Drosophila melanogaster: one gene and its partners. The protein of the gene in region 1 interacts with the protein of each later gene in a pairwise test. Each region holds a gene or a part of one and is shown on either strand. Other genes may lie near its edges. The genes, in order: Nplp2, CG11980 and gom.

What was found.
Region 2: the proteins of Nplp2 (region 1) and CG11980 interact in a two-hybrid assay, tested with the Drosophila melanogaster proteins (one large-scale study listed by BioGRID).
Region 3: the proteins of Nplp2 (region 1) and gom interact in a two-hybrid assay, tested with the Drosophila melanogaster proteins (one large-scale study listed by BioGRID).

Annotation. Positions count from the first base shown.
Region 1 is NT_037436.4:13,354,500-13,357,880, forward strand, and holds Nplp2 (Neuropeptide-like precursor 2), read left to right. Parts: upstream 1-1,876; 5' UTR 1,877-2,099; coding exon 2,100-2,144; intron 2,145-2,227; coding exon 2,228-2,353; intron 2,354-2,508; coding exon 2,509-2,598; coding exon of another isoform or gene 2,599-2,697; 3' UTR 2,698-2,724; downstream 2,725-3,381. Other genes in the region: CG17687 (uncharacterized protein), read left to right, coding at 170-350.
Region 2 is NT_033777.3:9,002,372-9,005,942, forward strand, and holds CG11980 (uncharacterized protein), read left to right. Parts: upstream 1-1,645; 5' UTR 1,646-1,679; coding exon 1,680-1,704; intron 1,705-1,724; exon of another isoform or gene 1,725-1,767; coding exon 1,768-2,080; intron 2,081-2,137; coding exon 2,138-2,879; 3' UTR 2,880-2,960; downstream 2,961-3,571. Other genes in the region: CG31100 (uncharacterized protein), read right to left, coding at 1,170-1,219; Prosbeta3 (proteasome beta3 subunit), read right to left, coding at 3,083-3,571.
Region 3 is NT_033778.4:22,138,239-22,141,927, reverse strand, and holds gom (gomdanji), read right to left. Parts: upstream 1,994-3,689; 5' UTR 1,781-1,993; coding exon 1,735-1,780; intron 1,667-1,734; coding exon 1,337-1,666; intron 1,288-1,336; coding exon 746-1,287; 3' UTR 564-745; downstream 1-563. Other genes in the region: CG11269 (uncharacterized protein), read right to left, coding at 2,663-2,986.

The DNA of each region.
Region 1 (3,381 bases):
CATTTAAAAGTTGCTGTCATACTTATCAGAAAATAAGAAGAAACTTATCTATCTGTTGGCTACAGTAAAAAGTATTTTTACCACTGCTCATATTTCGGGCTAATTACCGAATTTCATGCAAAAATCAAACAGTTTTATATTTAAAACATATGTTCTCTTTCCACCGCAGAATGTCGCAGATTAAGACCCATCGGCAGCTCATGGAGAATGTCCGCCGCAACTACGCCCATGTGCTGGAACTGCAGACGATTCTGGAGCTGCTCCGTCTGCGAACCTACCCCACGTTGGGTCCACCCCTGCCCCAATGTCATCCGCCAGTGCCGGAGCATATCCTCAGTTCGGTGCCCTAGGAGAACTTCAACCCGACCAACCAACAGACCAGACCGTGGGGCTAAGTTTTAGCCACTTGGCGAAATTGCAATTAAATATTTTCATTCCGCCAAATGAAAATTTATTAGTGGTTCTGGGTATCTGGTCTGGGTCTTCTGACTCGTGCTGCCACTTAATTGGGTTTGTTTGTGTCTGGGGAAAATTACGAAAACGAGGCATAAAGTCGTGCACTTTGAGCTCTGTTTGCTGTTTAGTTCGTTGCTCCCGAAACAAACTCTACTCTTGACTAACTACTTTTGGGGCTTAAGTTGGGGGAAACCCTTCAGCATCGCACTTCACATTTATTGTTTTAATGAATTGCCCTTGAAGACACGAGAGTTGATCCGAGAGATCAAACTGTTGCAATATAATACAAATAAAAAACCCCGATTGTCACTTTATATGGCTATCATATCGTGATTACGCTAAAAATACGGCAATACACGACTATTATTCTAATTATTATTACCTCTTTTAACCATTACGTAATCTTCGGATTTACTCCGAGCAGTAAGCCCTTATCTATTCAGCTTTCAAAACCAGAGAACTGTAATTTCTTTACTAAATATGCGAATTCATCATTTAAATTACTTTAACCCCTGGAGGTGAGCTACAGAATACACTATTTTTGTTAGTTCAGTTTTTTTACCGCAGCATCTATGTTGATAATAGTGTTTCGTTATTTCTATTCGCCTTTTAAGATGAGTTCACCATGCTAAATTTACGTTTTTGATATCCAAAGTCTACAAGAGTAGCTCTGTCTAAATATTCTGAAAGCGTTGTTTGGTTTGCCCAAGTCCAATCGCATTTGCATTTCTCCAACTTAGCTTCGCGTTGGAAATTTCCGGGTTGCTTCGTCAAATTTTCTAATACTCGGTATTATAAATATTTATTTTGCGCAATTACATAATTTCGAATGTAGGGCGCCTTATCAAAAGCATTTAAAAAAAACCTTATCACGTGCCACGTGCTTTGCATTGATAGCCGGTAAAATGGAAATTATAGTATAAAATAAAATTGACTATATACCTGTTACTCGTACAGAAAGTCGACTATAGCGTTATCTCTTCACTTTAACTATATATAAATATATATTTAACTAAAAAAAATGCTTACAGAAATATTAAAATATTTGGTCTTTAATGAAAAAAACAAATAAAAGTAGATAAACAATTCCGATTGCTGGATCGAAAGGCCTTCAGAACAGCTTAGCTATGCGAGCCATTGAAATGATAAGCACACATTGTAGGATATGTATATTCCAAATTTATACAGTGGTAATTCCATAATTATTTCTTGTTGAAATTCAAATTAAAAATATTCTTAAATTATATATTTAAATCTTTGTTACGGGCCAAGTGCTAGAATACTGGATTCGAGGATAGGGCAATACCATTAAGTCCTACAGAGATTAACTATTTGGCGGTTGCATAAAGCGGTTATCTTCTGTGACTAAACAAATGTAGACATTCTTGAGCCAAGCAAACGCTCAGCTGTTATGCGAAGCAATCTATTCCAGCATGCTACGGAAAAAAGTACGCTTATCACGGGTCAGCTCCGTAGCTCTAAACGCTCGGCCTTCCTAGTGCCGATAAGCCGGTCTCAAATTCGGCCGGCTGCGGCGCAAAACGAGGTGTCGTTATGAGTAGTTTGGCAGAGGTTCAATCAGTACTCAAGTCATCGTTCTCTAGTTCAGAGTTCCGCAGCAGTTACAAAAAACCAACACAAAAATGGCCAAGCTCGCAATTTGCATCCTCGTGTTCGCCCTGTTCGCCGTAAGTAAAATGCTCAAAGTCCTGGCACACAGATGCAGGACCTATTTTCAGAGATAAACTACAATGTGGCACTTTGATTTCAGTTGGCTCTGTCCGCCCGCGTCCCCCGTGAGGAATCCAATCCTGCCCAAGAATTTCTTACCAAGGCCCAGGGTGATTTCAACGAATTCATTGAAAAGTTGAAGGCGTTGGACGCGAAGAAGGTTGAGGTAATTATAAAGCAATCATATCAAAAATAAAGCGAGTTCTAAGTAATTAATAGTCATTTTTCGTGGAGACGCTTAAAACTCATTCTATCCACTACATACGTATTTTCCATAAAGTATTTACGAATTTCTAACTAACAACTTTTCTCTCTGTGTAGGGTCTCTTCAAGGATGGATTAAATACCGTGCAGGAGGGTCTGCAAAAACTTAACGAAACATTTCTTCAGGCACCAGCCGCATCCACCTAAGACGTTGTTGGATGGCCATATATCATTACATTGAAAACGACTCCAATAAATGTTTTAACTTTAACTTTAGTTGTTACATACATGAAAACTAAAAAATGAAATTAAAACGTTAATTGTTTTTAGCACAAAAACATATATTTGCCTATTACTTTAAAAAATTTTTCCATTCCACTTTCTAGAATAGCTATTTTATTACCTTAAAATTGGTAAAATTGAGATGTTTAGATTGAAAGATGATTTTTTTATTTATATTTCTTTTATTCTGAGAAAATATGCTTCCACGCATGAATTTGACTTGGTTAGGATAAAATTATTATAATTATGCCAATTTTTATTAGTACGGCCACCGAAAATGGTTAATTGCACTTCCTACAAGCTAAGTTATGGAACTTTTCTATACCGTTTTCACTGTGTTATTAAAGATTTTAGATGCTGAAGAGTGCTGATCTCGCTCTTCTTCGAAGAAAATTGCAGAAAATCAAAAATTATTGCCATGATTTGAGTTTCGTAAGAACAACTGGCTTTGAAACGGTAGCACGCGTGAAATATTTGTCAGCTATTTTGCACACCTGTTTGGCGCAGCCAACTCGGGGAATGGAGGACGAAATGTGAGGGCTTTCGAAACCATGAATAATGTATTGGCATTTGTACGGCATCGCATCTCGGGGAATCCCCTCCGATCGCCCAATCTAACTTCATCGCCGCGCACGATTGCATAATACCAAAGTGGATTTTTGCTTCTTCCAAGGGATTTCGTATCGAGCTTTGGGCCAAAAATGTGGG
Region 2 (3,571 bases), on another chromosome or scaffold:
CCGGACAACACACATGAATATAACGTCAGGCGGCTTTGATCTCGCCTCTATAAATACAGTAAGGCTACTTAAGTTCACTTAGGCTCGAGTAAATAAATCTACAATTGTGATGTTGCACACCAGAGAACACTACAACGATAGTAATGCAATTTAATGATAGTGTCGAATTTTTAATTTTAAATACAAAATCATCACCTCCCGATTTAGTAATCTCTATTTTAAGTGCTCCAGTTAATTGCCCTTAAAGTTTTTTTGACGCGTACTCACATATTTGTTGTATTAAGCGATTTATTTGAAAAAAGACGGTGCTAATATAAGTTAAATGGGCATATACGTAACGAGGGTGCCAGTTCACCGATCCAATGATACCCTGTAAGTGCTATATAAGCCAAAAATGATTTAAATATTTGTATATTCAACTTACTATTCACTTTCATTCATTTAAGAACGACATGTGGTACAATATACCTTTCAGTTTCAGTTTGGTATTTACCTGTGGAATTTGCTTATTTGCTCACGGGCGTGAAAATATAATTACTTGGGTAGTTGTAAAAACAAGCGCATTTTTCGCTCAGTGGCAATGAACTTCTAACGTAATCTGTATGATAAGCTTAATTGCAAGAAGCTGAGGTCGAAACGAGTCCAGATTTTGATAAGCGTGTCTGCATCGATTAGTACCACAATAAGCCCTGTGAAATTTTTGATTTGGCCGCGTGACGTAGACGTCGGGGCAAATTGAACTTTAATTCGAGCTGAATTTCGCATTCCAATTGGAGATAGTGAAGTGTGTTTTCCAAACGAGTTTCGTTTACACAGGCACTTCCTTTTCCACTCAATTTCCGAGCTTAGCATCTTTTCGAAGGTCATGGGATGCTGACAACGGGAAAAATGCCTGTGTAACAATTTGAATTTAACGTTTTGTTCGCGCTCATACACGTGATCATTGTTGTCGGCGGTGATTTATGTTTTAAACGCATACATAGACCGTTTGCCTACTATTTCGGTTTTAATTATTGTTCGTCAGTTTCAGCGCACAATTAACGGAAATGTAAAATTTAAATAACTTATAACGATTATATAAGCAATGCCACGCAGTGGGTCAGTAATGTATTTTTAAGCTTTCCGATTCCCGCGCGTTTTTAATGATCTTTTAAACTAATCACTCTTACATTGCGGGTACTTGCCGACTTATATTTCGGCGCAAACGGGCTTCTGCCATTTTGGTAAATCCTTGTGGTTAGTCAATTTTATCCAATGTATCCATTCGTGGGTCTTGAGTTCCAAAGGCTTACTAAAATTTTCAGCCAATAATTCTCTACTAAGCAGCCAAAAAATTGATGTGGTCCCTATGAGTTGTTGTTTTACAAATTAGCAAGCGAATGCTAATTTATTGGATAAGCACAAACGCCCATGCAATCGATTGGTGTGGGGCGAAGTTCTTTGATAAGCTGGCAGTGCTTGGTACAGATTTCACTGAATTTTCATATATTATTATATTAAAATCCAACTTGCCTATAAAACGTATTTAATTAAAATGTTGTTAATTGTTTGCGGCTTAAAAAACCGTTACCAGTGCTGCCACGCTGCAGTTTTTATATATTTAAGCTGAACGCGTGTTGCCATATCAAGTTATAAAAACTTGTGATATCGATATTAAATGGAGGAAAAGACCGTCGCTAATGTTCCGATTGTTACCTCGTTTTCGTAAGTTTTTGGTTACAATCCGAAATTAATTGAAATATCTGGGCTTAACTGAATGTTTTGAAGCAGGAAAACTATCTATAATGACTGGAGTTACCCCACCAAAACGCTCTCCCCTTTGGATCGGCACACACAGCGGCACTTTTCACTGCGACGAGTTGGTCGCATGTTTTATGCTCAAGCAATTGGATGAGTACAAAAACGCAGAGATTTTCCGCAGTCGGGACAACAAGGCTTTGAAGGAGAAGTGCGATATAATTGTCGACGTGGGCGGCGTTTATGATCATGCCAAGAAATTGTACGATCACCACCAAATAACCTTCAAGGAGACTTTTAGTTCCGTTCGCCCAGATGTAAGCGAGGACTACAACGTTGTCAGGTGAATTCGTGGTGTTAGCGTAAATGAACCCGTATAATCCAATGTAATCCCCTCCAGGCTAAGCAGTGCTGGACTGGTCTACTGTCACTATGGCGAGCGTGTTATACAGAGCATCCTGCAGCGCGAAAAGGGAATTAAACTCTCACCGGAAAACCTGCAAACGGCCTTTATTCAGATCTATAGGAATTTTATCAACGAACTGGACGCAATTGATAATGGAGTGCCCATGTTCGAGGGCGTTGAGCCTATATACAAAATCTCCACTCATCTATCTGCCCGCATTGCCAAACTGAATCCGTCCTGGCAGGAAACTGGCGTAGACATCGAAGACCGATTCAGACAGGCGATGGATACTGCAGGTCGTGAGTTTGTGGACAACGTTGTGGAGGTATCATGTTCCTGGATTCCAGCCCGGGATCACGTACGAGAGGCTCTTAAAAATGCCAAGAACGTCCATCCCACCGGCGAGATTCTTGTGTTGAAGAATTTCTGCCCCTGGAAGTCTCATCTGTTCGATCTTGAAAAGGAGTACAAGGTGGAGGGTGTGCCCAAGCTGGTCGTCTTCAACAGCGGCAATAGTTGGCGAGTGGCCGGAGTTCCAGTGACGCCTGGCAGCTATCTGGGCCGCAAATTTCTGCCCACTCCTTGGCGCGGACTGATGGACGATGAACTATGCGATAAGGCGAGCATCAAAGATCTCGAATTCATCCATCACACAGGATTTATTGGCGGGGCAAAAACCGAGGAGGCTGCCATGTTGTTGGCCAAGAAATCCACCGAGTGGACAGAAGAGCAATAATATAATACGACTTAAAGTTATGCTTTTGAAATTGAAAAACAATAATTAGATCGCATTTAATTCTGGTGTTATTACGCATTTAATTCTGGTGTTATTACGTTATACGGAAAAGAAATACGCACATGTTGTACCTAAACAAATTTTATTTGTATGTGTATTTCGGTTAATGTATACAAAATCACCAAGGGAACCTCTAACATCATCTAGTCCATGCGGGTCTTCAGTGTGCGCTCCGTGATCTTGTCCTTCTCGATAATGTAGACGGTGGCACCCCAACCGCTCATGGCGTCGCGATCGAATGCGTTCACAATGGACTGGGCGATGACCTCAAACAGCTGGTCCGGCTCGAGATCGGGTTTCCACAGGGTTTCGCACATGCCATACAATTGCTCCGCACAGGTGCCGGCCACAACGAAGTCATCGGGTGCGTTGGGGCAGCCGATCAGGTCCATGTTGCAGATAAAAGGCTCCATGGTCTTGGGATCCAGGCCAGCAACGACCGGCTCAATGAAGTACGGGCCAAAGCGGTGCTCGTACAGAAAGCTGGACATCATGGCCGAGAAGGGCTTGGGACACATTTCACGGTTTTCGCGTGTCTCGTACAGATTCTTGCGGAACATCAGGCGATCGCGAACAGTAAGGATGTCCGTCTGCAGGCCTGTGAGCCCGAGGAACATCCGTGGGCCGATGTG
Region 3 (3,689 bases), on another chromosome or scaffold:
GGGCTGCCAAACCAAGCCGACGCGAATCGGAGAAAGAACCTTACTTTATTGCGACGAACAACAAGTGGTCGTTGTTATGCGAACATTGGAACGCTCTTTGACGCGTAATGGAAGCCACAATTGAATTCACTCTATGTGTATGCTATCTACGAGATACAATTTTGCTGCTTTTGATTACATGCAATGAGCCATTTCCTCTACAGCCAACAGAGTGCCCGACTGACTCTAAATGCATACAACATACGTATGTATGTATGTACATGGACGGTCTTCGGGCCATCCAGCATTTTGTTATTGCACCTCATTTTGGCTGAAACAGAACGCTGGCTTAATTGCACTAGAAATGCCAGCATGTGGCAAGTTAAGTAGTCTATAAAGTGGCAGAATCCAAATATGTAATTAGATTCTGCCAGGGATCTGGGCTGGGCATGATTAAAACTTGAGTGCCTCAAGTCTAGTTTAGTTAAGAAAACTATAGCGTCTATGGGGTAAACAGTAGAATAGATTAAAAAATCTCCAAAGATTCCTACCTATATATGGCATCAATAAAAAAAATGCGAATTATCTAATGCAGATCTCAGGCCAACAGCAACGAATTTTGATTTTTTATTGAACAGTATATCCAGTGTTTTTGGGGGCTTTATTCGCAGGGTGTTGATGTTTGTATTTGCCCGATCAATGAATTTTCCAAGCTTTTGTGTTGTTACTGCTGGCAAAGTAAATTAAAGTGCAGTATAAGTGCATACTAGCCGGCCTTTCTGGCCTCCTTGTCGGCCTTCTCCTTTTCCTTTTGCTTCTCCTTCTCAGCCTTTTCACGTTCCTTGCGCGCCTTTTCGCGGGCTTTCTCGCGCTCCGCCTCCTCCTTCTCGAGCTGCGCCTCCTTCTCCTTTCGCTTCTTTTCGCGCTCCTTGTCCCTTTCGGCCTTGACCTTGGCCTTCTCCTTCCGAATCTTCTCGCGCTCCTTCTCCTGCTCCTCGAGCCGCTTCAGTTCGTCCTTCTCCCACAGCTCGAAGGCCTCGCGCTCGGCGGCCAGGCGCTGTAGTTCATCCAACTCGGCGTCTGTGATGCCGCCATCCATGTCGCGTTGCATCAAATCCACCTCCCTCTCCATGGCCTCTTTGGCACGGCGTCGACGTATGCCCAGCTCCCTGGCCTCCACTGCGTCCTGATGGCGCTCCTCACGCGCTTCCTTCTCCTCCCGTCGGCGCTCCTCTTCGATCTCAAATTCCTCCATCTCATCCTCGTTGTAGGGATACTCGGGAATGGTCCAATTTAGACAGAGGACACCTGAGATTAAATGGTGCAATTGCTATACGATATAAGTGGCTAATCCTACCTGACGACAAGGCAAAGCCCAATGTTCCCCCTGCTGCCAGGATACCGGAGACAAGGATAAGGTTATAGCGGCTGTTCTTGGCTGACCAGGCTTTCATAAAGTCGCCTTCCGGCTTTGGGCAATCACTGAGCACCGCGTGCTGACCACCGCTGGCAAAGTAGCCCGGCTTCCGCTTCATATTCTTGTCGCCTCCAGGACATTTGGGTGGCGGCTTGGTGGACGGGGGTGGCGGTGGAGTGGCCTTGACCGCCTTAGCTGACCCAGGAGGCGTGGCCTTAGCGGCCATTCGCTGAGAAACCGTATTATGAATCAACATCTGGCCAAAGCGCACTGGGGATTCAGGAAGGTTTTATTCTACTTTGAAGCGAAAAACTTCTGGACATAATTCTTTCACTCACATCCCCTCTGGAGACGCTCTTTGGTAGCTATCAAAAATCGGGACATGGTACTTGCTCTTCACTTCCCTTCTCTGTGGGAAGAGACCTTTGATTTTCTTAGCCAAGTGTTTGCCTAGCAAAATATAAAATTTTTTTCGCGTCACAAACTTAAAAATCTCAATTTGATGTCAATATCAAATGTTTCTGAATTGAACCACTTTTCTACGAGTGTGTTTCATAGATTCGTAAAAAATACGATTCTACATCTGCATAAGAAATTGTACGGTCTCTCGGGTGGCACAATTATATAGAAGACCATCCATGGAGGAAATTTAGAATATTTCCCAGGTATTGCCAGATCTCCAAATCAGTTAACCCGAGTTCCCGAAAAAATGAGTAAATGCAGTGAACCAGTTTTCAGCAGACTGCACTTGGTTGGTGGTGATAACAAGCCAGATACACAAGCGTACAACTAGAAAATCGTGTACGATAATTTACACAACGGTTTTCGTGTAAGACACAAAAGCTCGGTCGATAAGAACAAGATACATAACCCCGGTGTAGACTAGACTACGGTATAGAGGTGAAAGGGGGGGGAATAGCCAGAACTGGGAACCCACACCCCATTCCCATTAGCATGTTTCGGAAAGAGAATTTCACGGAAATTTATGATGCCCAAAAGAGAACACACCTCGGTGAAGGTGTCACGTGCGCTGTCAAAAATCGGTTGGTCCGAGACGAATGCATAATGCGGAGTGGACAACAGTCAGCCAGACTTGAAATCGAAAAGTGGCTTGGCGATAAAGAAGTTAAGGCTAATCGCAGAATGCGGTCAACAAACTGGTTCTTTCGATCTTTCGAACCAACAAGTGGGTGGACGTCGCTGAGTGGGTGAAATGCAATTGGAACCATGAAAATAAATTGTTTATTCAATAACCAATCATACAAATCAACGACGGAATCGCAAGTGACCGGGACCCCGCTTGTAGAGTCGCTTCCTTCTCTTGTTATCCCGACGAATGGCCACTATCGCAATGAAGACGAATCCCAGATAGAAAACGGCGGCTACAAAGCACCGTGTGGACACGTCCTGGTAGGCCTCGTCCGCCTGCTCCTTGAAGGCCTCCTGACTGGGGAAGTGGTGGGGCAAGGGCAGGGACTCCAGGAGCATCAGTGACTGGACGTAGAAGAAGATACCCAGCAGATTCAGCATCAAGAAGCCCCAGGCGCTCATGAACAGGCAGAACAGACAGCACTTGCGACCACAAAACATTTTCAAGCTCGATTCAATTCTATGCGAACTTTGTGCGACAGTGTAGTCGAGTGTTGCTCTGACCGCAACAGGTGCCAAGTTTAAGCCGACTTCGAAAGCGAAACCGAATCCGAAATCGAAATCGGAATGTATTGGACCACATACTATTCATCCATCTATCTACATACGCTCGTACACAAGTACAACCTTGTGCGATTTCAGCGGCATTAGATCAGAGTGGTCGGAATATGGAGTTCACGTACCCGTGCCTCTCGCTTTCGGCGGCGTTGCGATTGGGTTTGTTCAACTCGAAATGGCTTAGATTCGGATTTGATCTTAGCCAATGATGGACAACTGACAGATATATCATTTGCACACATACATATGAGTATGATATAGAAGCAGCTCAACTTATTAACACTTGAAAAGCACGTCAAAAAAACGATGTATACAATATACTTCAGAACATCAAGCTTATGCAGAACGAAGACCTGCAATATATTTGATATTTCAAATCAGTGGCTGCATTTAGTTCTGCGTATTTATATATCAGAAGTGATTTTTAGAGAACTGAATGTAGGCCATGCCAACCAAGTAGCTGATTCATTAAAGGGCAGCCTCTGATTTGAATTCCCCTTGTGAATCATGCTCAAGAAATTGCAATAAAAATAGCCAACTAAATAAGTTTAAGCAATAATTAGCACAACTTACCGTGAGTGGTTGA